Linked DNA regions of Drosophila melanogaster. The protein of the gene in region 3 interacts with the protein of the main gene of each other region in a pairwise test. Each region holds a gene or a part of one and is shown on either strand. Other genes may lie near its edges.

The links.
Region 1: the proteins of Cp36 (region 3) and Adi1 interact in a two-hybrid assay, tested with the Drosophila melanogaster proteins (one large-scale study listed by BioGRID).
Region 2: the proteins of Cp36 (region 3) and PolD2 interact in a two-hybrid assay, tested with the Drosophila melanogaster proteins (one large-scale study listed by BioGRID).

The regions. Positions count from the first base shown.
Region 1 is NT_037436.4:10,657,708-10,668,357, reverse strand, and holds Adi1 (acireductone dioxygenase 1), read right to left. Parts: upstream 4,983-10,650; 5' UTR 4,913-4,982; coding exon 4,790-4,912; intron 4,709-4,789; coding exon 4,631-4,708; intron 4,569-4,630; coding exon 4,441-4,568; intron 4,284-4,440; coding exon 4,190-4,283; intron 4,131-4,189; coding exon 3,993-4,130; 3' UTR 3,923-3,992; downstream 1-3,922. Other genes in the region: CG8003 (uncharacterized protein), read right to left, coding at 5,432-5,674, 5,735-6,508, 6,577-6,783; CG32066 (uncharacterized protein), read left to right, coding at 8,811-8,993. UniProt on the Drosophila melanogaster protein: Catalyzes 2 different reactions between oxygen and the acireductone 1,2-dihydroxy-3-keto-5-methylthiopentene (DHK-MTPene) depending upon the metal bound in the active site.
Region 2 is NT_037436.4:1,773,032-1,784,186, reverse strand, and holds PolD2 (DNA polymerase delta subunit 2), read right to left. Parts: upstream 8,555-11,155; 5' UTR 8,507-8,554; coding exon 7,211-8,506; 3' UTR 7,168-7,210; downstream 1-7,167. Other genes in the region: alpha-Spec (alpha spectrin), read left to right, coding at 505-2,428, 2,489-3,092, 3,271-3,300, 4,202-4,802, 4,877-5,005; mRpL46 (mitochondrial ribosomal protein L46), read right to left, coding at 5,895-6,671; CG2021 (uncharacterized protein), read left to right, coding at 6,857-7,144; CG13933 (uncharacterized protein), read left to right, coding at 9,396-10,206, 10,277-10,609, 10,661-10,764, 10,818-11,155. UniProt on the Drosophila melanogaster protein: Accessory component of both the DNA polymerase delta complex and possibly the DNA polymerase zeta complex. As a component of the delta complex, participates in high fidelity genome replication, including lagging strand synthesis, DNA recombination and repair.
Region 3 is NC_004354.4:8,472,451-8,483,605, reverse strand, and holds Cp36 (chorion protein 36), read right to left. Parts: upstream 4,288-11,155; 5' UTR 4,250-4,287; coding exon 4,202-4,249; intron 4,113-4,201; coding exon 3,306-4,112; 3' UTR 3,083-3,305; downstream 1-3,082. Other genes in the region: Cp38 (chorion protein 38), read right to left, coding at 546-1,421, 1,648-1,692; Cp7Fc (chorion protein c at 7F), read right to left, coding at 5,442-6,338, 6,411-6,479; Cp7Fb (chorion protein b at 7F), read right to left, coding at 8,088-9,262, 9,405-9,732; Cp7Fa (chorion protein a at 7F), read right to left, coding at 10,638-11,155.

The DNA.
Region 1 (10,650 bases), on a different chromosome or scaffold from region 3:
TGCATGAGTGGCGACAGGGGGGTGTGGCGGTGGGCTGTGTTACTTGTGCAGCAAACGAAATAGAAAACAACTGCAATATGTTTGCTTCCCCGGAATGCAGGAATGGAATAGCCAGAAACACAGCTCCACTTGCAATGCATTCGGCAGATTGAGCCCAAAAAACAGATATTACACCCGAAACATGCCCAATCGCCAACCAATTGCAGTTGTCATCTAAAAATTGCAACTTTTACAGAAGCCTATCTATAAGCATTGGGTGGTAACAACTTTGAAATGGGACTGGCTTGAATCAAAAGTTTCCATGAGCATGGAACAACCAGAAGAAATCGATTAGAAAACGGGCAGTTCTTAAATTTATGTGGGACTTAAACAAATAGTTAACTTTATGCTATTCTAGCATTTGCCACAAACTAACCTATCCTAACTATCATAACTTTACAATGATGTACATTGAAAAGAAACCATGTTAAAGTTATACCGTTTTGGTATAATATTTTATATTTATCATTAGCTCCCTTTTTGTGTGTGCTCTTAAGCATAAGAAGTACTTCCTGAACTTTTGACCTCTTTAAGCGAAATTAGATGAAAATTTCAGATATCGATAACAAGTGCCAGGGGGGGTGGGGAGAGGGAAATGAAGTGAAAAGGGGAAGGAGAAACGAGGAAGAGGAAGAGCGCAGCGATACTGCAAAGCCGTCGACTTTTGTTGCTCCACTTGCACAAACAAAAACGCACGAAAAGACGAAAAGAGAATTTCGGCTATCGAGCAAGCTCCCCTAAACTCACACACACAAACACAGACACTGGCAAACTCACCTGCAAACTCAGGTAAATCGACACGCGTGTGTGTGTGTGTGTGCGCGGGTGAGTGGTACCTGTGTGGAGCTGACACGGCAACAAACAAAGGTAACGCTAAAATCTACAGCGATAAATCTAGAAACCGGGCATTCTAGTTCCCAACCTACCAGATATATTTTAACTCTTTCGATTCACTTTTTCCATGGCTAATTGGTTGGAGCTACTAATTATCAATTAATTACATTCGCATTTTATAGATATGTATATTTTATTTTGTTCTACAAATGTGTAAGACTTATTATTTGCATTCTATTTGATTTTGCCTCATTGAAATTTATAGAAGTTCAAAATTCTTATCAATCATTGATTTTACGATAATACTTGGCAAAGATAAGAATTCGCATAGCTAAAAACTCATTTTCTTGAAATAAATCTTATTACAAATTGAATTACCGATGGTTTAATAGTTTGGAAATAGGTTCAGCGAACTTTTAACTCCTCTTAACTTTCGGATTTCACCTGATCCGCTGTGAACTAGTTCAGATATAGCCACCCCTCCCCCACCCACAGAGAAACCAAAACAACAACAATTGCAATTACAGCAACACCAACTAAACTATTGCAACAAGCAAGAACAACAAAAACTACTAGAAATGCGGGTCTGGGTCGTAAAATCGAGACCAAAAGCAGAGAGCAAAGGAGCGGAGAGAGGAGGAAAGGCGAAGAGAAGTGCAAAGCGGTGGCAGAGGAGGATGGGGAGACTCGACGAGACGTCGAGAATGCAGTGCACATAAAGAATGCCAAAATAAGTTTAAAACTAACGACGAACCGGGTTTTAGTGCGTGCGTCTGTATGCGAGTGTGTTTGTGTGTGGGAGCGAGACAGCCAGCAAGGTGGTTTTTTGTATGGCTGTGTATTTGTATTTTGGAGCATGCAACATTGCCGAAAAATGCGTGCGCTGCGGGATGGTTGAGAAAGAGAGAGGGGGGAACCCCAAAAATGAGAGAACCGAATGGGAGAGAGAGTTTGCGAAACAAGTGCATTTCTGCATGAGTGTATGTGTGCGGGGGGTAATTTTCGAGAAATTAACAAGTGTTGCAAAGCTCAAAAAGTGCGTGCGGGTAATTAGCAAGTATAAATATGTAAAACAGAATCAAATACAAAACGAATGGGAAAAAGTTCATTAACACAGTTAACATAAAAGACCGCCAACAAATCTCATTCATAAGCGAGAAATGTGTGTATAGATAACGGGAACGGAAAGAAAAACGAACAGCGGCGACAACCCCTTCCGAATACAAAAAGGAAAAACCGCGGCAACCCAGTCGAGCGACACAGGAAAAAAAGTAGCAGCTGAGACAAGCTCCTAAGCATGGCGTCCCAACAACAACAGATAAAAGCTGTAAAAATTGTCAATATAGAAGAAAGAAAGGCAGGCTGGCTAGCAGCAGCAACAACAATAACAGGAGGGGGGGGGCAGAAGAAGAAGCAGCAGGCTTTGGAGCTTTGCGAAATAATGCGCGAGAGTTAAAGAAGAAGCCGCCAACGCCAACTGCGACGTCGGCAGAGCATTTTTAACGAGCCGAATGACAAGCGCACACAAACAGAAACACCAACACACACAACGGCACTTATGCAGATGCATACAGTCGAGGGCGAAACCATAGCAGTAAGATCAGAGCGTAAACATTGAGAAAATTAATAAATTCAAATTAAAAATGTGTGTTAAATATTACCTTAAAAAACTATTGAAGTGTTTGGCGTTTAGTAGTAATTCATATTACTTTCATTGTTTTGATAACAATACATATAAGTATTTAATTCTAGTGCCAATCATTAAGCTATTGTACATTTTATAGTTTGTTTTGTAAGACAGTTTTAACAACCAACTTTTGGGTTTTATGACTTTTCTTAATTGCCACTATTGCATTGACCTCGATTGTTCAAACACACAACCACACGCACACAAGGAGGCGCACAGATGGGCGACATGCATACGAGACGCCGCAGCAGCAGACCGGTTGAGGTTAAATTGGATAGTGGCAGTGAGAGAGAGAGCGGGGCGAACGAGAGAGAGCGATTGGAGATGGAGCATACATATACATATTGAATTTTTCCTCTTTGGCGTAATGAAAATTTTAGCACTGTTTTGGGGCAAGAAAACGGGGGAAAAAAACAAGAAAACTTACCCGCGTGTGAAAATCCGTTAGTCGGTGGCGCCTCTGCCGCTGCGCTGCTGCTGCGGAACTCCTCTCGATTTTTCCAATTTCGCATGCACAAAACTATTTGGATTTCACTTAATTAATTACACTGCTTATGTACCACCTTATATATGCACTTATGCGTTGGTATGTATGTATATACGCCTCACCAACACACTTGCAGCCCGCGCTCTGCTGACGTCGACGCCGCTGCCTTTTTGCGGCTACTTTTCGAAATATTTTACACGCACTGCAGAATATACTTTGTTTTATATAAATATTTTTGTTTGTCTTTTACTTTGCTGTAAACTTTATACGCAATTTGTTTACTATTTCAAAGAGAGAGTGAAACACACAAAGACATAGACACACACGTACACACACACAGATAGGCCGCTTTAAGCATTCGTGTGCGGCATTTTATTAATCCACGTCGATTTGTTTGTAAATAGATAACGATACGATATTGTATTGTATCCGCCGAATCCACAGATAACGACTCGATTTAATTTCAATTGTGCTTTTTCGCCGCTCCGCTCACGCACACTACCTCACACACACAGACGAGACCGCGTAGCACGTCCGAACGATCCGAGAGATGAAAAAGTAAAAAAGTGTTTGTTTTGTTTTCCTTCCTAGCGATGGCACGCGCATCGATGTTGGCTCGATACTTTCGCTGGCGCTTGGGATTATATACTTGCGCTGTTTTTTCTCTTCGGCGCTGGTACGGTCATACCGCGAATTGTACTCTCTGAGATTCGAGTTCGAAAGTACGTTTAGCATATGCAGCAACCAACTAAGAGATAAAATTCGAAATCAAGTTTTTGGCGGGGTTTATTGATATAGAAAATAGACTTCGAATTCTATATCAAAACTACGTTAATCAGCGAAAATTGTAAGTTAAACAAAAAACTATTGAAACTATTGATTATACACAGCGATTTTATATTTCAAAATATCAAACTTGATGGTAAAAGATAAGATTTAAGGTTTTTAAACCTTATTGAATTGCACAAAGTTTTCCGACTGATGCTTGATGTACGATTTGCGACAGTCCATTTCATCAGCAGGACGATTGTGTGGAGCCCAGACAGGTTCGCCCACAAAATAGCGACGAGTTCTGATAAAGTTCTAAGAAAAAACAATACAAATAGTTTAAGTTTGTATATAAGATTGTCAAAATAACTTACATTGGTATCCAAAGTAAAGCGGTGATATATGCCAGCTGGTATAATGATCAGATCTCCCTTGACAACCTTAATGCGCAACCAGTTGTCCTCATTGCTATAAAGAATAAATAGTTTTCCGTTTTAAAACAATTCCAAAAATGTTATTAGTGTGAGCAAAAACAATATCAGTAAGAATATGAATGCTTGAACTATTTAATTGGGAAAATGTGGCTGGGATACTATAAAATGCGGTGTAAATAAACAAAACTTACTCGCGAACATCAAAGTAACCGGATCCCTCCAATATCAGGCGAATTTCCTCATCCGTGTGCAGGTGTTCGGTGAAAAAGGCTTTCAACTTGTTGGCATAGTCTGGAAGGCACTTTTCCGAGCATGTGATCTGTAATAATTCGAAGTTTACCAAAGTTCGGTAGATGTTTTTCAAGAAAACATCGATCTTGCCTCATCATCGTAGGTGTAGCCACGTTTTGCCCTCAGTTCCGTGAGGGTATTATCGCTCTGGTACTCGTCCGCATTGATCTGCAAATGTGAATGATCAAGATAAGCTCGCCCCCAAGGTCACTTAAGGTTTTTAAAGTCGCAATTTCGCTTTTCACTTGCCTTAAAGTATTCCACGCCGGTCTTCTGGTACAGATCATCCAGTTCCAAGTAGGCAGGCGGATTGCGGTGGTGCTCCAGGCGCTGATCGGTTTCCTCCGTATCCATATACCAAACCTGCACCATTTTGGACTGTTTTAAACGGGTTTTCACGAGCAACGAGCAACAAATAGATTAAACAAGAAAAATTCAACTGGCATCAGCTGTTCGTTTTCGAATTTTCGAAATCGATAACAGACACTCAGGCGAATGCCGCTAGTGCTGTTAACTTAACATTCGAAAATGAATGCTGTTAGTTTTGTGTTCGAAATACTGCTATTTTAAAAACTTCATTTTTGAAATGTTCGATTTAAAACGTAAAATAACCATAATTTTAATAACCTTCAAAAGGAGTTATTTTTCTATTTTTTTTTTGTTCCATTATTACTCTTTATTATTTTACGATAGATATACGATTTTTGGGCAGTTTGTTGTATGTTTTGACTTTAATTGAATTTGTAGCGTGCAATTTTGCCTTTCGTTACTATTATCTAGTTTAATTTGTGTAGACATCTGACAGTTTGGTACTAACAATCTTTTAGTACGCGAAAATGCTAGGTTTCTGGTTTTATGTTACATTTATTGGCGTTACAAAGGAGCACAGGATTACGCAGTCAGTTTGGACAGTTCCTCGCGCAGCTCGGCCGTGTCAATGGCTCCCTTCGCTTGCGATTGCGGCTGGGCTTGGGCTTGGGCTTGGGATTGGGCCAGGAGGCGGGCACAGTTCTTCTTGTGCATGAACCAATGCAGCCGCTGGCATTCGCGATCGCAATACTGCACCGCCTTGCACTTGGAGCACTTCTTGTCCGGTTTCTCGGCGCCGCAGGTGCTGCAGTAGTTGCCCTCGTCCTGAAAATTAGTTTTCCAGATTAGAAAAGAATCATTTGATTATGAGATCATGATACCCACCGTAATCCACCTCATCCCATTGATGGCATTTCGCAGGACAGTCAGTGCTGGTGGGGCATCCTTGGCGCCAAATTGCGTTGCGATTTGCCGGAAGATGGTGCACTCTCTCACGGGAAACTCCCTGGCACATTCGCGCAACGTGTATTCCACATAGTCCAGCTGGCCCAGCTTGTTCTCCTTGAGCACCCGCTTCACAAACATCTCGATGAAATCGTTCTTGTTCGCATCGCCCGCCTCCTCGCCACTTTTCTCCTTGTGCTGCGCCTTGAATTGCTCCTCGCAGCGTATTAGTTCGGCCAAAATCCAGCCCTGATAATGGAACTTGAAGGCCAGCAGCTCGTTGAGGTCATGCGACTTCTGCATCTCCTTTTCGCACATCAAAGCCAGCGTCTTGCGCAGACTGGACAGGATCCTAAGCAATCCCAAGGACTGCACATTCAGGGCAATCCTCACGGGATGCAGGTTGATTTCGGTGACAAAGGCGTGGAACGATTTGAGTAAGCTGGGTGGTATATGCGGCTCCGTCTGCTGGCCATGCACTTGGGTGTAGTACTCCAAACTCGACTGGGTCACATAGTTGTTGATGGTCTCCACGCAGGCGTGGTTGCCCACAAAGGCGGCCATTTGGGCGGCGGTCCTGTTGACACTATTGATGCTACCCGGCTTGATGCCAGCATCCAAAAGAAGCCGGCACACATGTGTATTGCCCGATAGAGCGGCGAAATGCAGTGGCGTATAATCAGCTCCATGCTGATTGAGGTTTATGTCGGCACCCTGTGGAAGAAAAGGCGGTTATTTCATGTTTAGAGCCCAAGCGGTGGTTGCCTGGCAGATGTACCCACCATGTCCAGGAGCAGCTGCACCGCCTCGCGGTTTCCCTTGAAGCTGGCGTGGGCCAAACACGACATCCCGGTGTCGTCCACGAAATTAACATTCCTCACTCCGCTCAGCAGCTGCTTGAATCCACTGGTGTCATTCTTGGCCAGATGATCCAGCAACTGGCGCTGCACGTCGTCCAGCTGTACGATCTTCTTGCTTTCCTCGGTCATTGTGATTCGATTGTTTGTTTTTGTTGGATTTTTCAAGTGCTCTTCGGAATATGGAAATCAAGAAACTCCACTGTTTTCGGCGTGCTTACAGCGATACTGTCACAGTTTCACAACACTGTCCGGCGGTTGGCGTGCGATATATCGTTACGATATGGTACAATAAGAAACTAAAACAATATCATATATATCTTGAGTTTTATAAAATCAGAAAATATGGAAATTGGCATATATGGAAAAATTACTAAGTATAAGTATTATAATCTTATATATTTTTGTATTGTTATATTATATTATATTATATAATAAAATTTTCTTAAGATATGTTGGTAGGTTTCAGTTAATCTCTCTTTGCAAAATTTGTTTCTTTATGAGCCATAAATTTGCTTATACATAAATATATATAGGTTAAATAAGTTGTTACGTTATTGAATAATTTTTTATTTATCATGAAATTGTGTGTTTCTCAATTCCCATCACTAAGGTGTTGTTAGCATTAGTATTTTATATGTGGAGGCCCGTTTTGGTTGGGCTTTATTCGACTAGCCCCGCTACGGTCACTCTGCTGTTTTGTTGTTGTGTTTTTTGTCGGCGGCGTGTGTATCGCATTCGCATCGCATCGAATTGAATTTGATTGGATTGGCTTGAACTGAAATCGTGTGTTTTGTGTTTTTGAAAAAACTGATACAAGCATTTGAGCCCCGCGAGCTGCCCATAATGTTGAAGGCGCCCTTGCGCTACTAGGCAATTAATTAAAAAAAAATAATTTAAAAAGTACCGCAGTGTGGAAAAAAGGTGATAAGCGTGGTGCAGAAAAATGATGAAAGGAAGAAATTCCAATGCAGACGAAACCCTTTTGCATGGGGAAATGTATAAATAATATAAAAGTGAAGATAAGCGCGCAAAATAGCGAAGCAAGTGGAAAAGGGACGGCGAGAGAGCGAGATAAGGAAAAGCCAGATAAACAAAAGCCGTACACACACACGCACACATGGCCACAATTCTTTAACAAAAACAAGCCCGTTTTGTTGCTCCTCTTTTTTCGCAATATGTGTTTACATGTGCTGCTGCTCGAGCAGGAAAATGGCCTTTTCCCACTTAGCGCAATGTGTGAAAATTGGCCTTGCCGATTTTCCTTTTCCTTTTTTGTTTACCGATTTCGATCTGTTTCGATTTCGCAGTATTTCCTGCGAAACGCACATTGCCAAGAAAAGAGATAGAGAGAGAGAGAGAGAGAGTATGGTCTTTTCATAATCCTCTCTCCCTCGTTCTCCTCTTCACCCCCCGCAGTGCAATTTGTGAGGTCGAAAAAATACAGTAAACATTGGTTAGAGATGAAACAAAGCGGAAAATCGTCGACATTCCTTTGATTTCAATATATAAAAATGTTTTTTAAGGGGATTTTTTAAAAGTATAATTTGAGTATATTAAAGTTAGTTAAATATATTTAAATCAAATGAAAATATCAGGAAAATATTTTTCTTGAAAAAATAATTTAAATTTAATCTTAGATGAAGATATATTATTATGTATTTTCATTCGTAAAAATCAAAACCATTGTTAGTTCAAAATCAACATTCAAGAACTTCCTTGAACCCCAACCATCTGTGTTATTTTTTCCCATCTTCGAAGGGGGCTGAAAACATAGAAAACGCGGGGTTTTGTTGTCACCGCCTTTTCCCACCCTTGAAACTGCCCTTTTCCATTGTCCTCCGAAAGATGAAACAAGTTCCTGAATTGAATGCAGCTTCCCCCACCATCAACCTCCACAATCCACTATCCACTATCCCTAGCAACTTTTGCAGCTGCCTTTTGGGTAACCAGCCCATTTATTAGGCCCTTTTTTCGTGACAACAGGTGCAACAGCTGCTATATCTTCTGTATTCTTTGTGTTCCCACTCCCTTTCAGTGCTCCAAATAAATAAAACAACAAATTCCAAAAAAGTGCTAATTAATAACGCAACGAAATAGAAGCAAACACCAATACTACGAAATCCCCCAAAACTACAAGTATTAGTTAATCAAAGAAAATGGGAAAGCTGCTGAGCCTGCTGTCACGCGACGACTCCAATTGTTGCGCCGCCAAATCCTACGATGTCTTCCTGGATTTCGAGAACGCCGCGCCCACGGAAACGGAGCGTGCCGTCTACGACGAGGTGGAGCGGGTACTCCGGGAATCGGAGGTGGTGCTCGACGAGATACAGATCTATCGGGTGAGTCTCAACTGGTCATATGCGTCATTAGCCACGGGCTAAACCGCAACCCCTGCCAACCGGTTATTGGGCATTTGTCCGATGATTCCTATAGTTCGAGTCACTAAATGGTGATCAAAACGATTTTTTAAAGAAAATATCAGTACTTTATATATAACATAAATGTAAAAAGTACTTTTAAAAGGATTATAAGCATTATAAAATTTTAAATGATATATTTTCAAGGCATTTATGCATTATCAAGCTAGTTTAAAAACTATTTTAGGTAGTTTGATTATGCCTGGGCTTCCCCGAAAAGGGAGGTACTGTATAAGACTGATAATTTCAACAACTTGCTAAAAATAACAACAATCGCCGGGAAATTGAAAGCAACAAATAAGAGCAACCATAAACGAGCAACAAATTGAGTATTTAACCTTTTGCCAGGGTGAGAAAAGAGCGGCACTGAGCAGAGCGCTATCTTTTGCTCTCTTTAAATGCTGTTACTCCAACGCCCTCTGAAACTACTAAAAATAAATGTAATACTATTATTAAAATAATAAACAAATGATTGTCATTATGTACACGCTATTTTGGTAATAAAACCTAGCATTTTATGGCCGCATTAAAATTAGCATGTCAAGACTGTAAGTAAGCGTAAATATTTTGTTAACTATAGATCACTAGGCTTTAGGCGCCTATACTTAGAATCCATTTATTAAATATCCCTCAGAGTAATAGATTTGAGTAGACTAATTAGTTAAACTGGCCCTAAGAAGAAGAGCATTTTACGATGTATCCAATGTGGCTCCTCCAATGTGAAATGCCCCCCCAAACATGGATCTCTTTGATTGCCTGACTCACGCACGTGCCCACATGATCCGATCCGGTGAGCGGACTTCTTTCATTATCGTCGCTCCACTGACGTCATTAACCAACTTTTGCCGCCGCTCTTCGCACTCCCATAATTCTCCTTCTCCGTCTCGCGGCGGGAAGAATTAGTCACCCCATTCTTCGTTACTCACACAGAAAAAAAAAATGTCTATGATGGGTTTTGTAACTACTCTTTTATCAACAATAACTTACGCCTTTTAAAAACTGATTAGCATAGTTTTCTTTTCTGTCAAAAAAAGCTGACCTAATAATGCTGTCATTAAATAGTTTGGACATCTTTGATTTGATAATGATAAGATATGATAAACTTATGTGAATCTGATAAAGATATTTGCGATGTGTAAAGCTAAAAGTCCTTAACTGAGAACCCTAAAAATAACTACTACAATATATGCAATTTATAACGATTTAAATTGAATACAAAATTATTGGAGCATATATTTTTTTTCTGTGTGCATTTGACCTTTTGGCGACAAATTCTAACTCACATTGGTGTGTGCAAATTATTAATTGGGTTTCAGACGCAAAAATAAAAAGAAGACGGTCAAAGCGGAAAAAAGGGTAGTTAAAGGGGGGGGGGGTAAAGGGTGGGGGTAGGTGGAAATGAGGGGCGGCAGACAAACAAATGTCAGGCCGAAAAGCTTTAATCAACGCAAATGAACTGGAAAATGTATACCAATGAGCTCATTTCCTTTGTGTTGACCCACTTAAATGGGACCGAAAGCAACAAAGACGACCTCGTGGGGCATTTAACCCTTTGGTGCAGCGATTCCCGTTCGCATTT
Region 2 (11,155 bases), on a different chromosome or scaffold from region 3:
AATTCCTAGTGTCCTGATAAAGTTTACTGCATTTGTGAGAATGGGTCTTCCTAAAATATAAATATAAATAATTAAACTTAAAACATACATTCTTGTTCACATCAATTTAGAGCTACACCATAGAGCTCGATAAAGATGTGAACTTTGATTTGATCAGTTGCCTTATGTTGAACATTTGAGATCTATTTATTACAAGTAATTAAAAATGTGATTTGACTAATCTTTAAAGCTTTACACATGTATAACTTAATGAACTTATATAGTTTTCTGTGCCATCCTTTCATCATCGTCACACATCCAAGCTCCGTTCACGTTTCATTCAGTTTATCTACCGATTTGTTCAGTTTAACTTCGTTCTACGTTTATTACTCTTGACTAATTCGACGCTGCAGCAATCGATCCTCAGTGGCCACCCTACCAGCGTTGCAATGTTGTTCTAACACGGCGTTACCAAAGCAAAAACCATGACCCAAACTAATATGATTTCCCCATGAATTTCCCCAGGAACACCGAACGGAGATCGATGCGCGCGCCGGAACTTTCGGGGCTTTCGAGCAGTTCGGAAACGAGCTGCTGCAGGCCAACCACTATGCGTCGCCTGAAATCAAGGAGAAAATCGAGGATCTGGCCAAGGCCCGCGAGGACTTGGAGAAGGCGTGGACAGAGCGCCGCCTGCAGCTGGAGCAGAACTTGGATCTGCAGCTCTACATGCGTGACTGCGAGTTGGCCGAGTCCTGGATGTCAGCCCGCGAGGCCTTCCTAAATGCCGATGATGATGCCAATGCCGGCGGAAATGTGGAGGCACTGATCAAGAAGCACGAGGACTTCGACAAGGCCATTAACGGCCACGAACAGAAGATTGCTGCTCTGCAGACGGTGGCGGATCAGTTGATCGCCCAGAACCACTATGCCTCCAATTTGGTGGACGAGAAGCGCAAGCAAGTGCTGGAGCGCTGGCGCCATCTCAAGGAGGGTCTGATCGAGAAGCGATCCCGTTTGGGTGACGAGCAGACGCTGCAGCAGTTCTCGCGCGATGCCGATGAGATTGAGAACTGGATTGCAGAGAAGTTGCAGCTGGCCACCGAAGAGAGCTACAAGGACCCGGCTAACATTCAGTCGAAGCACCAGAAGCACCAGGCCTTCGAGGCGGAGCTGGCGGCTAACGCCGATCGCATCCAGAGCGTGCTAGCCATGGGCGGAAACCTCATCGATAAGAAGCAGTGCAGCGGGTCGGAGGACGCGGTGCAGAAGCGGCTGACGCAGATCGCCGATCAGTGGGAGTACCTGACCCATAAGACTACCGAGAAGTCGCTGAAGCTAAAGGAGGCGAATAAGCAGCGCACCTATATCGCTGCTGTCAAGGATTTGGACTTCTGGTTGGGCGAGGTCGAGAGTCTTTTGACCACTGAGGATTCTGGTAAGGATTTGGCCTCTGTCCAAAACCTCATGAAGAAGCATCAGTTGGTCGAGGCGGATATCGTGGCGCACGAAGACCGCATCAAGGACATGAACAACCAGGCCGATTCCTTGGTGGAGAGCGGCCAGTTCGATACTGCCGGCATCCAGGAGAAGCGTCAAAGCATCAATGAGCGCTACGAGCGCATCTGCAACCTGGCGGCCCATCGCCAAGCCCGTCTCAACGAGGCTCTGACCCTGCACCAATTCTTCCGCGACATCGCCGACGAGGAGAGCTGGATCAAGGAGAAGAAGCTACTTGTCGGCTCCGACGACTATGGTCGCGATCTGACCGGCGTCCAGAACCTCAAGAAGAAGCACAAGCGCCTAGAAGCCGAATTGGGCTCTCACGAGCCGGCCATTCAAGCTGTGCAGGAGGCTGGCGAGAAGCTCATGGACGTGTCCAACCTCGGTGTCCCCGAAATTGAGCAGCGCCTGAAGGCTCTGAACCAGGCCTGGGCCGAGCTAAAGAACCTGGCTGCCACGCGAGGTCAGAAGTTGGATGAGTCGCTGACCTATCAGCAATTCCTCGCTCAGGTGGAGGAGGAGGAGGCCTGGATCACCGAGAAGCAACAGCTGCTCTCTGTGGAGGACTACGGCGACTCGATGGCCGCCGTACAAGGACTGCTGAAAAAGCACGACGCATTCGAAACGGACTTCACTGCCCACAAGGACCGCTGTTCTTTGATCTGCGACCAGGGCAGTGAGTTGGTGGAGGCCAAGAACCACCACGGAGAGTCCATTGCCCAACGCTGCCAGCAGCTGCGCCTGAAACTGGACAACCTGTCCGCCCTGGCTGCCCGCCGCAAGGGTGCCCTGCTGGACAACTCGGCCTATCTGCAGTTCATGTGGAAGGCCGATGTGGTCGAGAGCTGGATCGACGACAAGGAGAACTATGTGCGCTCCGATGAGTTCGGACGCGACCTGTCCACCGTGCAAACGCTGTTGACCAAGCAAGAGACATTCGATGCAGGTATGATCAGCTGAGATTTTGTCTTAAGTCACATTATATTAACGATTGTCATCTGTTAAGGTCTCAATGCCTTCGAGCAGGAGGGCATACACAACATCACGGCACTTAAGGACCAACTGATAAATGCCAGTCACGCCCAGTCGCCGGCAATCCTAAAGCGTCACGGAGACGTGATTGCCAGGTGGCAGAAGTTGCGCGACGCCTCCAACACGCGCAAGGACCGACTGCTGGCCATGCAGGAGCAGTTCCGCCAGATCGAGGAACTCTACTTGACATTTGCCAAGAAAGCTTCGGCCTTCAATTCTTGGTTCGAAAATGCCGAGGAGGATCTCACAGATCCTGTTCGCTGCAATTCGATCGAAGAAATCCGCGCCCTGCGCGACGCCCATGCCCAATTCCAGGCGTCCCTTTCGTCGGCCGAAGCTGACTTCAAGGCATTGGCAGCACTCGACCAGAAGATCAAGAGCTTTAATGTTGGACCCAACCCGTACACGTGGTTCACCATGGAAGCTCTTGAGGAGACCTGGCGTAATCTGCAAAAGATCATAGAGGAACGCGATGGGGAACTTGCCAAGGAGGCCAAGCGGCAGGAGGAGAACGACAAGCTGCGCAAGGAGTTTGCCAAGCACGCCAATCTTTTCCACCAGTGGCTAACAGAGACAAGGTGAGTGGGGGCTAAGGCTTTCCCAAATGTGGGCTACTCCATCCAGACGTGTGTTGGTTTTTTTCGGATCGAATCCATGTTCCCATCCCAATCCACACAAATCCGAAAACAAGTCTCGTGGTCGCGACTCTAACCCCATGAAATACTACGTAACTGAAAGATCCATTCTATTTTCTAGATATTATATGCTGGGTTATAACCGTCAAGGGTAATTAAGCGAGCAGGCTTGATTCTGCGTTTGAACTCTTATTTTCTGTTGTGATCTTTTTGGTTTCTTAACTCGCGTTGGGGCTGAGCTCCCAATCTCGCTGCGCCTCCACTAACCTTTTGGAATGGCCATGTTCTCCGTAACTCTTGCTTTGCCCTTTGAGCTGAGGGCTTGTAAATACTCGTATATATCCACACTGATAAGATTGAGCGACGACTAAGACCTAGTTTTAGTTAGTTGCATTAGCGAGAGCACTGACCCACCCGATCCCGATCTGAGTGTATATCGTCAACGTACTGTTTCGATTCTCCATTACTCCTTTGGTCTCACCTAATCTTATTCAAAATTAACGAAACTGAACTCTTTAGCATGCGAATCGAGATCAAAATACTGTTGTAGCATACAGAAATATGTAGCAATCGAAAACATAAATTATGTTCATATTTATTCCGTTCAATCGAAGAGTTTAACCAAATCTAGTAGCATTATTAAATTACAATTTAAACGTTCCTTTGGCGCTTTTCTTATTTTAACTCGCTTTTAGCAATTAGACAACTTTCGTCATTATTAGTTGCTGAACTCAACAAAAAACCAATCTTAACTACACTAAACCTGACCCAAACAGATAAAACACTCGGGCCCGCCAAATTCCCACCGACACGTGTAAATATGTACAAACTAAAAACAAAGTGAAGACAAACTAGTTGCAAGCCCGAATTCAGAAAATCCAGAAAAATATTCGCTGCCCTTAACAGACCCTCTAACAAGATTTGCTTCTCTTATTGCATTATATCATTGTAACGTTCCGATTTGTTTGAGACCTAACTCGATATTGTGCCCTACTAATAGACGCTTTTTATCCGCCAACTCTCAACCAATCCCCACATCGCGAATTTCGCAGAACGTCCATGATGGAAGGCTCCGGTTCCCTGGAACAGCAACTGGAGGCGCTTCGTGTCAAGGCCACCGAGGTGCGCGCACGTCGCGTTGACCTCAAGAAGATCGAGGAGCTGGGAGCCTTGCTGGAGGAGCACCTTATTCTGGACAACCGCTACACGGAACACTCGACGGTGGGCCTGGCCCAGCAGTGGGATCAGCTTGACCAGCTGTCTATGCGCATGCAGCACAACTTAGAGCAACAGATCCAGGCACGCAACCACTCGGGCGTCTCCGAGGACTCACTCAAGGAGTTCTCGATGATGTTCAAGCACTTCGATAAGGACAAGAGCGGCAAGCTCAACCACCAGGAATTCAAGTCCTGCCTGCGCGCCCTCGGCTACGACCTGCCCATGGTGGAGGAGGGACAGCCCGACCCGGAGTTCGAAGCAATTCTCGATGTTGTCGACCCCAACCGCGATGGCTACGTCTCTCTGCAGGAATACATCGCGTTCATGATCTCCAAGGAGACGGAGAACGTTCAATCCTACGAGGAGATCGAGAATGCCTTCCGCGCCATCACCGCTGCCGACCGCCCCTATGTAACTAAGGAGGAGCTCTACTGCGTAAGTTCAATATTCCTCGATTACTGAAAGTTTCAACCCATGCCACTACTAACATCTTTGCTTTCTTGCCACAGAACCTCACCAAGGACATGGCTGACTACTGCGTGCAGCGCATGAAACCCTTCTCGGAACCGCGCTCCGGCCAGCCCATCAAGGATGCCCTGGACTACATAGACTTCACGCGAACGCTGTTCCAGAACTAAAGAGCCTGCATTGTCTTATTTAGTGGCGCCTGAGCATATGTCTTACAATTTAAAGTATATTTCTAAAAACCAACAAAACACAAAAAAAAATCAAACAAAAATATATATTTACACCATTATTTTCGATAATTTAGTCTCTAAGTCAAACAGTTTAATGCTTATTTAAGAACCTATGCCACAATGAACCTTAAATCAACAATAGCACCTTGCAATACATATTTATCAACATGACTATGAACCATTTCTAGTTTTTGCATTTATTTATCAACAGCCCAATGAGAAAGTATCTTAAATTTTGACGTTTCAGTTTGAGAATTGGCTACGCGTCCGGTCGCCGAAGAAGATATCTAATCGAGAACATTGTCACAGTAATTTGATCAACTTGCGCCTGAAAAGCAGATAAAAAGCTTAGCTTCCAGTAATCGAGCACACATTTTCAATATTGAATGTCTGTAACTTGTAACGAACATAGATACAACTGATATACCAAAAAGATTTAAGATACTCTTGCTACCAGAAATGCATAATAACCAGCCTTTTATGTTTCCTCCAGTTTCTACGTGTATTCGAAACGAAAGTAGTAAGCTTTTTCAAAGCAGAAAAAAAAAAGAAAAACAAAACAATAAATATTTGCCTCTGTATTGGACGTATATTTACAACTCGTGAATTGCAAAAATAAATATATTGCTGCATGTCTAAATATGTTAAATGAGTGGAGTTTTTATTAAAAATTCAGGGGAGTCTGTAATCTGATTTTGCAGAAGGAAGTTGGCAAAAGTATCAGCATCTCACCAGATTCTTCTCAAATGAAAGGCAGCTAGTAGATAGATATTCCTCTGAAGTATTTTTATTTATTTGTTAGATATCAAAACAATTTTAACAATTACGATTACAACAAGAACTTTTTAACGCTTTGGGCATAGGCTGTATTGGTCAGCTTTTCATTGAGCGCCTCCTTGGGAAGCCACTCGAACTTGGTCAGATTTTCGGGCACCTGGCCGGACCGCAGGGATGCTCTGTAGAAGAAGACCTTGGCTCCGACAGTCTCCGTCCGCTGGTTTCTGGGATACTTGTATTTGTGGAAGCCCACTGGGGCGTTGCCGTAGAAAAGAACCTGCAGCTCCTGGCCGCAACTCTCGCGGAGCACTCTTTCTGCAGTCTGACGCATGGACTCTCCCTCCTCACGCTTTCCCTGCGGTAGAATGAGGTGCTCCTGCTGGCCCAGCTTCTGCTGTACCAAAAGGTAGAGCGTGTCATCCAGACAGCGGTCCGTGGAGGTGGTTCTGTTGGCCTGGTCATCGGGCGTGGTGCGGGAGCCCAACTGGAACTTTTTTAGCTCCTCGACGTAGGCGTCCTTGAGGTCCTGAGCTGTCTGCTTGGATCCTGCGTCCTCCAAGTCCACCTGGATCTTGCCCTGCTTTATGAGCTCCGCCTGGACGATCTCACGTTCATGCTTGAGTTCATGGTCAGACTTCAGGCTGTTTTCGTACTCCACGCGCCATAGCAAGTCTTGGAACTGTTTTTCCAGCGGATTAAGGGACTTGGACACCACAGGGAGACGCTCTACGAGCACTCCGGCGTACAGGTCCCACTTTTCCGCGCTGGCGGTTGACGATTGGGCTCGGCTCAACTCCCGGGCACCCACTTGGACAATGCGACGCAGCATTTTAATCAGTTTAATTTAATTTTTTCGGAAAATAGAATGTTGACCACCGATTACATGAGCACCAGAGCCGGAACAGCTGATTTGCGGCACAGTTATCGTTATCGGAGAGCGCGTCGCTAGCCTCTTGCCACAATTAGTATTTATTTTGTTCTGTTTGGAGAAGTTATCAAGGAAAGACTGCTAAAATGTCCGGTCTGGAGTCGTATATCAATCACACAGTCTCCATCATTACGGCAGACGGACGGAACTTCATCGGGACACTCAAGGGATTCGACCAGACCATCAATATCATCATAGACGAGTGCCATGAGCGCGTCTTCTCTACCACCTCCGGCATCGAGCAAATCGTGCTGGGACTGCACATCATCCGGGGGGACAACATCGCGGTGATCGGACTGATAGACGAGACCATCGACTCCCGCCTGGATTTGGCCAACATTAGGGGCGAGCCGCTGGGTCCCGTGGTGCACTAGGATAGCGAATAAAACCAGTGATTCTCAAGACTTAACAGGGTGTATTATTTGTATTAATGAAGTTTCTTATTCTGCATCTACGCTAAAGTTGACCATGCGGCAATCCAGCGTATCCAGGTCAACGACGGCCACACTCTGTGTTTTGCTAAAACTGGGCACGCAGACTAGGCGGGTGCGCTTGCCTTCGGAACCCTCGTGCAGCTCGGTCGCAAACGACTCGCAGTTGCCGGCGTAGTAAACGTGCGGACACTCGCGCAGGATGAAGGGATCACTTTCGATGTACGGGTAGCACGCTAGAGTGTCCGGTGCAGTGGGAGCAACATGTCCCCAGGTGAGGGTGCAGCGAAGGGCCTCCAGCGCCGAGTCCAGCGAAGTGCTGCGCAACAGATCCGATACATTCTGGCCAGATGTGCCTACCACCAGGGCCTCATCCAGCCGGCAGCTGTACGGATTAGTCACCGCCTGGAAAGTTGCCAGTTGAGCAGCCTGGGGAAACATGCACTTGTGGAACGGCTGCTGGGGCAGCATAAAGTTGGCCGGGTCGTAGGGTCCCGGCATTATGTCGACGGGCAGACTGCGTGCCCATGAGGCAAACCACTGGTCTAGCTGGGAAACGGCCTGGACTGTGTCATTTGCGTTCGCCTGGGTGCGTGCCACCTGTAGGGTGGGCACATGTGCCATGGCACTGGCTCTCACCGAGTTTCCAGCCACGATAAGACGCACCATGGAGCCCGCTTCCTTGTTGTTTCCAAGACTGCCGGCCAGCCAGTACTGAAAGAGATTCAATGCCTCCACAAATTTGTGGGCCTGCAGTTGGTCCAACCCAGACGCCAGCACCAGGAGGCGGCTTCTTTTAATGGGGGCCAGTGGCTTCTGAGGTCCACTTTCGTAGAAGAGTATATCCTCCACGTTAAAAAATCCGTCACTGTCTGTTCCACCGAGGGCAGCGCACACAACTCCAGTGGCTAAGAGCTGTCCATTTAGCTTGCCCTGAAGTCGAACCCGCTGCAGTTCATCCTCCAGAACAATCTTGTCCTCCGGATCCGAGTAGTTCTGTCTTGGCGGCTGTGGCGCTAACTGATTCTCCTCAGAAATGTCCCGGAGGATACTGGGCTTGTGAGCCTGGTGCTTAAAAATGGTGCCGATCAGGATGCAGTGCACGTCCTGTTCACCCCGCAGCTCACACAGTTTTTTGATGGGCTCCTTGTTGCCCCACTTCTTCTGGGCCAGCGGCGTTAGGAGACGCGTCATCTCGGCCAGGCGGTGGGCATACAGATGGAAGAACTGCTTTTGGTAGTCATGTCCCTTTAGCCGGAAAATGCTGCTCAGGTTCTCGTATTTGGTCTCCAGGCGGTTGGTCATGATTCCGTCGATATTTTTAGGAGCAAACTAAGTTATATTCCAAGACGCTCGTTTACTTTTGAGCGCCAATTTGTTACAGAGAGGAGAGGCTAAGGCAAACAGTTTTTCTTCAATCACGTTGGTAATGTTAGGGAAAATTTCTTAGGAAAACCAAAGTTTTTTTGGCTTGGTAACATAAGAAGTATTCGCTTTTGAATAAGAAGTATTTTTTTTTGTTAATATTTTATTATTAATAATTTTTTATATTTAATATTGACATTTATAGTAACTAAGTTCCAGTATTCACTGTACATTCAATTCGAATCGATAGCCGATAAGCCTTAACATTGGGTACAGCTGGATTGCACAAATCGAAAAGTATGTGCAAAGCCTATAACTTATTTTATGGAAAAAAATCGCGTTCATTGCTTTTTTGCTCCTGAATAAGGTGGTGCAAATGTATGCCCATTTACGCATTTTACTTTAAGTTTAAATAAACGCGCTTTTATACAAAATTGATATCCTCCTATCGACTAACGATACCAAGTTCAACCAACTGATATCGATTGCCGATAGGGCCTCTGAAACCCTATACTATAATATACTTTATTTAATCCCAAAGTTTTTTTTTGATTGTGGTAAATTTGAAATGCCCGGATGCGCTGAATCTAGCCTGAAAACGCGCCACAGGGATGTGGGATTCTGTGACTGAAGCCATCGGAGCAGCCTTTCTCCTTCCAGCCGTCGTTCAGTGCTGATCTGGGCGGTTCTTCAGGGCTCGTATTGATTTTTACGGTTTCGGAAGTGATACGCACTTCGCCGTCTAGCGATCTTCCCCGGAAACTGCGTCGCAGGAGATACTAGCATGACTGTGCAGTGTTAGACGGCCGTAAAGGGAGAAGCCAGAGCAATGGGCGGCTCCGTGAGCCAGGTGTTCCGATCCGGATCCGCACTCCTCTCGCATCGCGACGGAAAGCTGTCCAAGGCCACCGAGGAGACCATACAGACACTGTTTGACATCCTGCGCGCCAATCCGAAGGTTTCCCTGCAGACCCTCGAGAGCCTGCTCATCCAGATCCCAAAGAACGAGAATATCCTGGCCATGCATGACGACTATGGATACAACATCCTGCAGCGCAGCGTCGGCCTCAACCACATCGATCTCACTAAGTGGCTGCTGCATCGCCACCGCCCGGACGTTAACCGCTCGCCCTGCTCCCTGCCCCTGCACATCGCCACCCTGCGTGGCTACGAGGAGTGCGTGGAGTTATTGCTTCGGCATGGCGCACGTATCGACGTGGACACTCGGATGTGTTTTCCTGGCGCCCACACGAGAAATTGCGAGGAGAGCGGCAAATGGCACAACAACGTGGACGATGTCAGCGAGCGGCTAAACACAAAGCTACAGAACGCGCTCTTCTATGCAATCGACGGAGATCAGTACAATGTTCTAAGCTTGCTCACCCAAAAAATGGAGGAGCCGTGGATCCCCTTCCGCGTGAAAAAGCCCCTGCTCCACTTGGCCTGCGAACGCGGCGCCTGGAATTGCGTCCAGCAACTAGTGGTCACCCGTTCGGAGGAAATCAATCTTATTATGGACGAGTATTACCCGATTCACCATGCCGTGCTTCATGATGGTCGCTTTCTTGAGCTACTCATTCATCAGGGTGCAATTACAACTGTACGCACCTGCACCCAACAAATGACCCTACTGCATGTGGGTGAGTTCGTATTCCCTGAAGAGAGAGATTCTGATGCAGATGTTGTAATAACCATGGCTATTATTTTCAGTTATTTTTGCTGCTCGTAAGTCTGCTGAAGACACGTTGGCCACTCTTCGCATCCTGCTGGAACGAGGATGCAAAGAGCTAATCAACGCACCAGACTCGTTGGGAAACACTCCACTGCACGCCCTGATAGTGCGCTATGCCCTTGAGGAAGCCCGGTACGGCTACGACAAGTGGAGCAAGTGGGATGTGTTGCACCTAGTGCGATTTCTCCTGCAGAACGGGGCCAAGCAATCGATTAACCAAGCGGGGAACAGTGCCATGGCCTGTGTGTTTCGACACCTGCGAGACTGGGAAGTCTGCTACGAACTGCTAAGCATGCTTATCAAGGAGAATGGTTGGTAAATCAGTTATGTTTTGTCAGTTTACACAATGCCTCATTTTTCAGGAGACCCCAACATCGTGGGGAGAGATGGATCTGTGCCCATTATGGTTCTGCTAGTGCCATTAATTAATAAGGATCACCTGCATCATTTCACGCACTCCATGAAGGTCTGTCTCGTACATTCCATTTTATTTGCGCAAAAGCTAATCCCTTGTTTCAGGTCTGCTATCTGAACTGCATCCGCATGCTGCTGCAGCACGGAGCGAATCCCAATTGCTCCTACCGCGCCAACCTTAAACCACTGCACGTGCTCGTGTTTACGGTTAGCGAAAACTTTACGCTTAATTGTGATGCTCAAAAGCGCACCAACTTCGACTTCATCAAGAACATCCTACTGATGCTACTTCAGCACGGCCTGGACTGCAATAAGACATATCAGCACATTCTGCAGGCGGTGATGGACATGGTGCATAATGTGCGCACCTGCCACGACATGGAGTGCGTCTACGAGTTGACTCTGACGCTAATCCAGTACGGGGCTGACCCCAACATAGTGCT
Region 3 (11,155 bases):
TGCTGCGAATAAAGTTGCGGGTAAGTCAGTTCTCCCATCATTAAATCGATTCTCATCATATGCACTTTGTGTAACAATAATTATATAATAATATCAATGATATTACTCACTGTCTATGCTATAAGTGTATCAAGTTTAAAATGAGTCGCAAGACTATCAATAACTATCAATTAGAGTATATATCTAATGATAGTTTAATTTAAATATAACTAGCATCTAGATTTCACCCTTCATCGAAAACAACATTCAGCTTGGGTATAATTGTTTTTTTTTTTTTGTTCAAATTTTTTATTTGTTTTGCAAAGAAACCTGAGTGCCACGCCCCTCCTGGGCCGTTGAATGGGTGAGTGGGTGGTATTGGGGTGTGCATGAGTGGGCGTGGGCGTAGGCATGGGCGTTGGTCGATCAGGCTGTTTTTTTTTTTTTTTTTTGTAAAAAAAACATAGTAACTAATCAGCCGGATAAGCGAATGACTAAACCAGCCGCTTCAGTTGATTCCGGAGCCGCAGCAGTCATCCAATCCGTAACTCCTCCGCATCTGTTACCTAATAGGCGGGAGCAGCATAGCCGCCATGTCCGGCTGGACCGGCGCTATAGTGCTGATGGCTTGGAGCGGGACCATAGGGACCCTCACGCTCGCCGGCGATGTTGGCAAGAGCGGACAGACCCTGGTTGCCGCTCTGGAGCAGCTGATAGCCAGCGCTGGCGGCAGCGGAATCAGCTCCCGAAGCGTAGGCGGGCAGAGCACGGCCACCGTCATGGGGTCCAGGACCATGGGGTCCAGCACCGTGTCCACCGTGTCCGTGTCCGCTGTGTCCGTGTCCATGGCCACCGTGTCCATGGCCGTGTCCGTGGGACTGCGAGCCCTGTCCGTAGCCCTGCTTGTTCTCGTTGACAAAGTACTTCTCTGCTGGGGGCTTGACCACATTGACGAACACGGGCTCAACCTTGACGCGACGTGGGTGGTGCTTGACGTAGACCTTGCGGAGAACGATTGCTGGGGGCTTGTGGAGCACCACGGGAGCGGGCTTAACCACCAATGGTGGATGGTTCACCAGCACCTTGGTGGGCGGACGCTTGACAATGATGGGAGCGGGACGATGGATGAGGATCTCGCCCTTGTTCTGCGGGTAGGTGATCGATGAGGTCAGGGTGTTACCCTTGGTGTTCACCGGCTTGTACGGAATGTTCTGGTCGGATCCGTAGCTGCTCTGGCCAGCCTGTGCCACACCGGCGGCATCGGCTCCGGATTCGAGAGCACCAGCACCGGCGTTAGCACCACCGTACTCGCCACCAGCTCCACCGGCACCGCCGGCAGCTGCTGCGGCCGCTGAAGCGGCATCAGCACCGCCATCGGAGGCACCGCTTCCGGACTCGGGTCCATAGCCCTGGGAACTGCCGTAGTTGGCGCTTGCACAGGCCTAAAAGTAAATTGAGGGGGGGGGGGTGGATTAGAATTGGATCGACATATACATATACTTAAAATAAGTCTAGCATCGATAGATAGCTTGATTCCGTTTCAAGTAATTTAAAGGAAAGTCAATTTGCTTTTCATGTACGATTTACATGGCACAAACGAAAGCAGTCAGAATTGATAGACTTGGTTTTCTTGGGATTAATCCTAAGATTTCGAGCTTGAACACTTACGATCAGGCAGGCGGCCAGCGCCCAAATGTAGGTCGATCTCGTCATCTTGTCTCCCAGTTGCAGTTCCAGTTGCTCTTCGGCTTCTGGTGTGCTCCCGCTTGGACTGTCTGCTGTCTTCTGCTGCCCTCCATTGGTGGCCGACTACTTTAAATATGCTCCGGACGCGTCTCCGGCTCCGGGTACGTGACATTTGGATTGATGCCAACTCCGGTGCCGGCTGTTCCGCTCCGGGCCCACGCGATGCGAACGAAACATGGCCAAATGTTGATAGATCGCACGCATCGCTGCCAGCGCATATCACGGCGTCTCTTCCACTTACGTAGAAGCCACAACCCGAAAACCCCACTGCCCACTGCCCAGTTGCCATTGCCCGTTTTACAATAACAACGAACACATTGCCACCGAATCGGAATCAACAGCCGGGCTGTGAATCTTTGCCGCATATCGAGGTCCGAACGTCTGTTCAGATAGCGAAAATAGTTCCGCATTGGCAGACACAAGACTCCGGGAGTCGGAATAAGAGGTAATCCGAGGTGTAAGTGGATAGGGGGAAATGATTAGCCACCCAGCTGTAGTCCTTGAATTTCACACGGATTGCGCAGATTCGATTGTCTTTCTATTGTATTGTATTGTATTGTATTGTATTGTATTGTATTGTATTGTATTTCTTACTATAAATGTGATTAGATTGTTAGAAGAGTGGCTATCTTCACATGACCATTTTTAATTTAGAAAATCCATGTAACTGATTAAACCATCAGTTTAAAGTACCATATAAAAATGTATACTTAATAATTGCCAGATAAAATAAATCTCTAGTTGCAAAGAGATTTGAAGATGAAATATGGATCTTTAGCTATTCCAATTAGGAATTCAAAGGCTTACAAACACCTAAAAAGATTTCCAATTCTTCAATTATTATGTTGTTATGTTTTAAAACAATCTTATGAAACTCTAATATGAATTTGGCGTTTCAAAAGAAAAGGTTTAAATACGTATTTAATGCATTAAAAGTGCTATATTCTTTGTTTAAAAGAAAAGAGGCCGTAAAATTATAGTTGCTCCATTAATTCATAGTTATGTTATTATTTATTATTCATTCCGGAATCAACAATATGTTGATAAAGATGACCTTTTGATCCCATTCTTTGCAATTAAACGATAACTGGAATAAGATAGCTACCATCACAAGAGTGTGAAATAATTTCATGCATGATAATGCTATCCAATATCTTTCGAATTGTATCTCATAAAATGCGTACCATGTTTATGCATATTTATAGAATAGTTAAAATACTTGTATGACCGTAGAGATTTCAATTACAAACTTATTTATACTCGTTCATAATTTTATGTTCATACTTTATACCATTTTCCCCTTTATTATTTATTTTTGAAGAAAACTAGATATAATTTTTTGTTCTCTCATGCATTCGTATATATTTATATATTCATAAATATGTGCTTAATCTGTGTGCTTCATTGCCACTCAGGTAGCCCCTTCCGGTCGAAAATAATTGATGACAAAACGTTTACGTTTCAAGTATTTTTTTTTCATTTATTTGCGCTCAGTAGTTCGGCAAAGAAAAAAAAAAACAAAAATTTAAATTAAACCAGCTGTCGCAGCTGAGGAGCAACCCATGCCCAGGATGAGCACCTTAGTAGTTGGGCTGGCCATAGGGCGCGGGGCTGTTGTACAGTGGAGCCTCGTTGCCGTAGGCATTGCCATCGGCAGAGGAGGCGGCACCGGCGGCGGAGGAAGCAGCTCCGGCACTACCATAACCCTGGGGCTGGCTGTACTCCCTGGGCTGGCTGTAGACGGGTGCAACCACCGGGGCCAGTGGAGCCTCGATCTTCTTGCCGGGCTTGTAGACCTTCACGTAGACGGGGTTGAGGCTCAGCGGAGTGGGCACCTTGTTGATCACCTCCTGTTGGTAGATGACCGAGGGCTTGATCTTGTAGATCACCGGATTGCCGCGCACCACAGTCGGTGGGCCGCTGTTCACATGGGCTGGTGGTGCACCAGGCTGGTGGACAATGATTGGTGGCAGGGGCTGGGTGGCGATCACCTGGTGATTGTTGTGGCCCGATGGCACCAACAGGGAGCGGAACAGATGCTGGTCAACGAACTGTGGCGACACCACCTTGATCTTGCCCTGACGGATATTGCTGGCCAGATTGGTCTCGGCCAGAGATTCGGCAATATCCTCGGAGTTCTTCAGCTTCTGGTAGTTGGGATCGGCATTGAGGGCCTGAAGTTGGGCCTGGACGCGACCCAAACGACGGGCCTCCTCCGGCGTGGGCTGGATCTCGGCCTGTGAGGCGATCTGATTGGCAGCCTGCTGGTTGCCACCAGACGCCACATTCACGTACTCCTCGAGTCCGGCATTGGGACCGGACAGGTACTGTCCATGTCCATGTCCGTGTCCGTGTCCGCCAGCGGGACCATAGTTAGCGCTCACCAGCTAATGAGGAGGAGGTAAGAGAGAGAGAGAGAGAGTTTGCGAGATTAGCGGGATGCCCAATGCGAATGCCATGGATAAAAGCTACTAACCGGCGTGGCGGCGATGGCCAAAATGCCAAACCAGAGACCGAGTTGCATGTTGCCGTTTACGTGTGGATCGTCTACTGCTCGCTGTCTGGCGATGACTCCGGCTCTTTATAGCGCCTATAATCGCTGCCCGCCATGGCCGGCTACGTGATCCATCTCCATTTCCGATTTTGCGCCGCATCTTTGTCTCGCCATCGTGCCCAGATCTCTAGACAACCAACCTCCTATGCACCTATGCACCGTGGTGCACCACTCTGCTTTCCGCTCGTCGCAATCTTCTATTTTTTGGCAGTTGTTTCCCTTGGCTTGAATCATAGCTCTTCCAAAGATCGAATATGATGCCAACGCTACGAGAGTCTCGTTTTGGTTGCCTTGTTGCGATGATTACAGCTGTGCTGCAATCTCTCTGCAATCCTTTGGGTTTGAAGTTAATATCCTTTATATGTTTTTACATTGCATTTTAACTTGGGACTTATACTGAAATGTGTACATAAACATGCCCTGCAGCAATGTTTTTTTTTAATCACCCAAATTTAAAGATGTTATCTATAAACTGATAAATATCTTACGCTCGAGATATATGAATAGATAATTTTTGTAAAAATTTCCGAGAAAGATATACCATGTAAACCATATTAGCAGATTATATTAGATATATAAGTACATTTATAACCGCATTCAATTCGATGCAGTTTTAAGCTTTAAGTTTGTGTTTATTAGCCATATAATTAAATTCAAAGGTATTAAAGACATTTAAGTTATTCCTCTTAAAAGGCATCTTTATTTTTAAAAATAAAATGCAACATTCTTATATTTTATGATTTTCGGTGGATTGTTTCGTCTCAATGTGAAATACAGTATCTTATATTTAAATCATTTGTTATACCTAAACTTATATAAACATTGTTACTAAAAACCTGAGCAATGAAAGTTAAATTGTTGATTCAATTTAAACTTGTAGAGTAGTGTATTATGAGTCACTGAAATTTTTTTCTTGATAAGCTCTTAATTCAATTCAAACACAACAAATTTTTGTATATATATATATTTTTTTTGTATTAATTTTATTATTTTTTTTAATAATTTCCTTAATCTCAGTGTTTGTGTAGTTCGTGTTGTGTGTAATGTGTTGGCGTGTGTGTATGTGTGGTGTGTGGTGTATGGTGTGGCTCAGTCCCATTTATAGAACTCAATGGTCTGGAGACCGCAAGTCTTTGGTTTGACGTGGACATGGATTTAGCTTCTAGAGACCCCGCTTATAAAGAAGGTAGGTGAGATCTCGTGCTGGTCGACTGCCGTAGTCATTGAAGGGTGATTTGAAGTTGAGCTGACCGCCAAAGGAGTCAAACTCCTCCTCGTGATGTTGTCGATCCTCTCCAGCTGATTTCATTGGCGAGGGATTCGATTGCTCGGCGTGCAGCTGATCTTCGCTAGAGTTGATAATATAACTCTGCGGCTTGTAGTTCTGCTGCCCATAATTCTGAGGCATTGCATACGTGTTTCTGTGCGGTGTGTGCTGTGGGTATTGTGGTTGTGGTTGTGGTTGCGGTTGCAGTTGTGGTTGTGGTGCATAGTGTTGTGCATGCTGTTGGGCATAGTTATAGCGTTGCTGGGCAGGATGCGATTGCTGGGTCTGCTGATGGATGAGATACTGCTGTTTCATGGCCATGGCTCGATTGTCGAAACCCTGACGATAAGCTGGACGCGATTGGTGTGGCGCAGGTAGAGGAGATGGAGGCTGGACTGCGCTGCCAGGTCGTTCGGCCCCCGGTAAATACTCGTGATGCACCTCCTCGTGGACACCGTTCTGGGTCCGGTTAATCAGGCGATTGTACTCTTCGTTGGTGCCGCCCACCTGCAGATGGATGGCATGTTTGAAGTCATCGCCCAGATGCTTTAGCCAAAAGCTTTCGTCCACTTCGCCGGTGGTGTAGATTCTCGTGGTCTGTCCACTTCTGGGCTTGCCCATCACCGTACCGGTAGCTGTGGCCACATCGATCACATCGTACTGCTCCCGATCACCCTTATCGTATGGCTCAACGCGAGCAGCCAAGCGATTGGTGGTCTCTTCCAGCGGCGCACCCGGAGTTGTGCTCACATTGTATTCCTCATCGGGGCCGGGCGTGGATTCACTTAGATTCTGAACGAATAATGAAGAATATACAAGCATTATTTATTTATTGTATAAACGGAGTGTATATAATGAACCCACCTCAGCGTGAATAATGGCCTGTGTTGAGACCAACAAGAGTAGTATAGGCCAACTGCCGTCGGCTGCCATTTCGACTGAGGGCCCCGGCTCCCATGGAATCCATTTAAATACCCACAAAAGTAGCTCGATTCGGTTAAAAAATAAAATGGCGTGCCGGGACGTGATCTATAACCAGATATGCCATATTCACTATTCACTAAATGTCTCATCCACGAATCTCCAGCGATCTTGATGCGTCAGAGAGAAGAAAAAAAACAAAAAAAAAAAAAAAAAAAAACTGTGAGAAACACCAAGCCAGGGTCATTCGAATTCTTTGGCACTAGTCAATGGGTTCGCTTGCAATAATTTAACGATACTTTAGTTGGTTTTTTAATGGGTGTATGTGCCATTAATTGGATGCTGTAAAACATTGTTGACATGCCGAGAATTACAAGGTCTTGGGATTACATCGCATTCGATTCTACAAAAATCGCACAATAAACTATGTTACTAAACACCCTACTTCTTTAATCAAAGGATAAGTGAGTAAGTCTGCCTGACATATTTTATAAAATTCTAGTCTGAAACGATAGATTAATAACCAGTTATTGCATTTTGCATACTATACATTATTTATTATTACTTAGTACCTATGAATCTTGAGTATTCTTCTAGAAATGTTTTGCTCTTATGGTCACGAAGTTCAGTGAGTTTTTTGTGGCTTTCGGTTGCGAGTATCTTTTGGCTTTTCAATAGTATGCAATCGCAAGAATTTTGTCGCTGAATGATGAACCACCACCACCATTTGTTTATGTAGAACAATAAATATTTGGCCATTAACAGATCGTGATCGTATGCAAATAAATCATATATATTATATATACTGGCTCTTTAATGATAAGTGAGCTTACTAAGACTAACGACTAAGACTAAAAAACAGAAGAATTGTGTTAGGTAAATAAATGCTAAAACCCTTAATTATTTATCAAAGTAATATGCCATTAGGCTATTATAATATTTGAAATGCTTAGGATTAAGAGCTGTTCATTTCGGTGGGCATACTTTTAGGGGTATCATATAGCTAGCTCTTTCTATGCCAAAGGTGCACCCAATGGAACCCCAAATCATCGAATCGAGCACATTTTAATCAGGCAAACACTTTATTAACCAGTTAATTGGGGCAACTTCTTGAAGTGCCGACAAAAGCGGAAAACGTAAACAGAAATCGGAGGTTGGATTCATAACTTCTATAGTACACGTAGATACATATATATATATATATATGTACATATATACAAGCGAATGGAGACCCGAAAGCGGAGTGCTCCACTGGCCTACTTTCGGCTGGATTTTAAGCCGAGCTCAGCAGATCGATGGGTTGGGTTGGGTTGGGTTGCATTCGGTTTGGAGTTTTGGTTTGGGTTTCGGTTTTGATATTGTTGGTTTATATGTAAGATCTCTCTTCAGTAGCCGTAGCCCGCGTCTTCGCCGTAGCTGCAAAGAGAAGAAAGACGAAGACGTTGGGTGAATAAAGAAAGAAACACCACAATGTATTTTCAATTTATTATATTCTGTTTTTTTTTTGTCTTTTGTTTTTCTTTTTGTTTACTTTTCGTCTATGATTTTCTCTGTTTTTTTTTTTTTTTCGTTTAAACTAAGTTCTAAACACTATGTATTTTATGTTGGTTAGATTGGGCACTAGAACCAGGCCCTCAGGTAATCCGTAATGGGTGGCGCATTATAGGTGTCTATACTGTAGCCATTTTGGGTTTGGCTATTATAGCCATAGGTCTTCGCGGGTTGTGTGGAGTAATCATTGTGTAAACTGTGCTCGGTTTCCGATCCCTGATCGAAACCCCAGCCGCCCAGCCGGCCATCGATGAGTTTCTTGAGAAAATCCGTCGTCTGTTGCTTTTGAATTGGCTCCGGATCGACCAGACTGCCCTCGGTGGAGTAATGATCGTAGGCAGGATGATTGTACACTATCCCGGAGATAATGCTGTCCAGTTGGGAGTCGGAGACATGCTCCACGGGATAGCCACCGCCGAGACTCGTTAGTGGTACACCATAGGATCTTCTTGTAACCGATTCCAAATCACCGGCAAACTGTAACGGCGTGGAGCTATACTCCTGCGGATCCGGCACAGAAGTGGTGGACAACAGGCTCCTAAGCTGCGAATCATCCACGAACTTGTAGTCCTCCCGACGGCCCAATGGCGAGGGAATCTGCAGGGGATAGTAACCATAGGCGGCCCTCTTGGCGGGAATCGAGTTGAGCTGCTCTGGCGGTTCCGTTTGCACAGGCTGCGTCGTTTGAGGCACTTGCTCCTCCTTGGGCATTGGCTCTTCTGGTGGTGGTGCCGATGCTGTCATCGCTCCACAGCCCACGTGACACTGACCGGGCCTAAAGTCCGGATTCAGAGTCTCGGGCATAAACTGGATTATTTCCGGCGCAGTCAGATCTATCTGGGATCGTTCTTGTTCGAGCAGATCAAACTCTCCCTTAATATCTCGCTTTTTCAAACGCCTTCCCAATCCCATCCAGCTCGGCTGGGTTTTCTTCGTCTTTCTCTTGGTTTTGGGTGCGGCAGCCACTGACTCTGGTGATTCCACGGGAAAGAGGCCAAAAAGTTTAAGCTGATGCTTCTCCTGCGCAGGAGTCAAATCCTTGTGATAGAGCTTCACAAAGCGTGGCGGACGCTCCTGGATCTTTTGTTGGCGCATTAGCCGACGGCGGAGCAGTGAACCTGGCTGGCGAACATCCCGGCGACGACGAATGGCATTCGGCGACCTGACCGGTGAAGCTACGTACCTGGGTTTTTGGCCGGAGCAACTCGAGCAGCCGCATGTTGACTTGTTCTTGGCCTGGCAATCTGTATAATATAAATCATAGATAAAGTTGTTAGAGGAAAACATGGAGAAACATGTATATAGAGAAATGTCCGCCCAAGAGAGAGAACTGTCCGCTTAAGAGAAGTTTTTCATGAAATCATTGGTTGTTTTGTTTGCACTTACCCGCTTTGTTGACTGTGATCCGGTCCACCTTGGCATACAGCTTGGCGGGATTGTTCTTGGGCGGCGCCGGTGTCCTCGGCTGCTCCACAGTGAAGTCAAAGCTGTAGGTAATCTTGGCTTTCGTCTGGACGGGCTTCTCCACCCGATAGCCGTACTCGCCACCGACATACTTCTTTGGCTTTGGGGTATTGGGCACATTTAGCTGGTAACCCAGTTGGGTGGGACAGGCGCAACTTTCGCCCGTGTAGACGACCTCAACGGGAGCGGCGTGGATCAGTGCTACGAGCAGCAGGCCCAGAATCGGGATCATTGCCATGGAGTATCGCATCTCGGTTAGATCTTCTCGGTTGTCTGCCTTGCTGGCTACTAGCCGCAGAATGTATTGTCACATTCTTTATATCATCTCGGCCAGCACGCGGACCCCAATGGTCTTGACTTTGGGCAAGGTCTTCTTCCCCAGAGACGCCGGCTTGGCCACTCTGTTTGTTTTTGTTTTCGCTGACCTTTTCAAATAGTTCGCGGGTCATGTTTTCCGTCAAAAGTCATGTTCCCGACGTTCGCCGCTTTCTTCAGTGTCGAGTGTCTCGATGGCTTGAGATCCAAACGCCAAACGCAGAATTGTCCACAGTGGAACCTAGCCAATGCGAACGGAAAGTAAACATTTTAGTTTTAAACGTATTGTGAAAAACATTTTGAATTATGCCAGCTTATACAAATGTTTGTTTATATATAATCAATTATTTTCTTGTGCAACATATCGCATTACATGGCATTCATTCAAAAATAAACACACTGTATTACAAACTATTAAACAGTGTAAAATCTCTATTAGATATGCTCAACTGTAATAATGCAATTCATAAACAAATAAGTCAAATAATATGTCGTGGGAATATTTAAAACACTTAATGATACATTTAATACATTTAAAGTACACTTAATGGTTTATTTATAGATTTAAATGCAAAGTAAAATTCTTGCATTCTATTTTCATTGGCCTCATATAATTTTCTAAGCCACATTTAAAACTATTAAACAGTGCCATGAAATAGTTAACCAAGTTAAAAGTAATAAAGTATTTTTAGAAGAAAGCCAATTGCTGTGCATTTTTTTTAAAAACGTATGTATATTTTTTAAGACTAACTTAGACAAACATCCATTCTCTCCTTGGCGTATATACATATTTACAAACGTAAGGATTGGAATTGGATTGGATGGGGGGATGGGTTTGATTCAGTAGTAACCGTCGTCGGACTCCTCTCGTTTTGACTTCCGGTACGAGGTGATCCGGCCGGGCTTGAAGCCACAGTCCACGGACACCTTGCCGGCCACTTTACCGTAGCCGCTCTCGCTGGAATCCTTGTAGTCCTTGTACGCATAACTGGAGCTGGAACTGCTGATCTTCCTGAACTTGGGGTTCTTGTATTGCTCGGTGATGTAGCCCAGCTGTTTGTAGGTGAGTTGCGGTGCCTCCTCATCATCGGAGGACTGTTCCTGCTCCTGCTCCTCCTCGGCGTACTCCTCCTCATCCTCCTGCTTGGTCGCATAGGTGCGCTTCTTCAGCGTGATCACGTCGCTCTTCAGCTTGAAGAGATTCTCCTCGGGCACGTTGGAGAACACCACCTTTTTCTCACCATCGACGGGCTTCTGGGCAAATCCGTAGGCCAACTTGGCCTCCGGCACATTGATGGCCTTTCCAGCCTGGGCGGCCAGACTCACGCTGATGGGATCCGCAGCTGGACTGTTGTCCA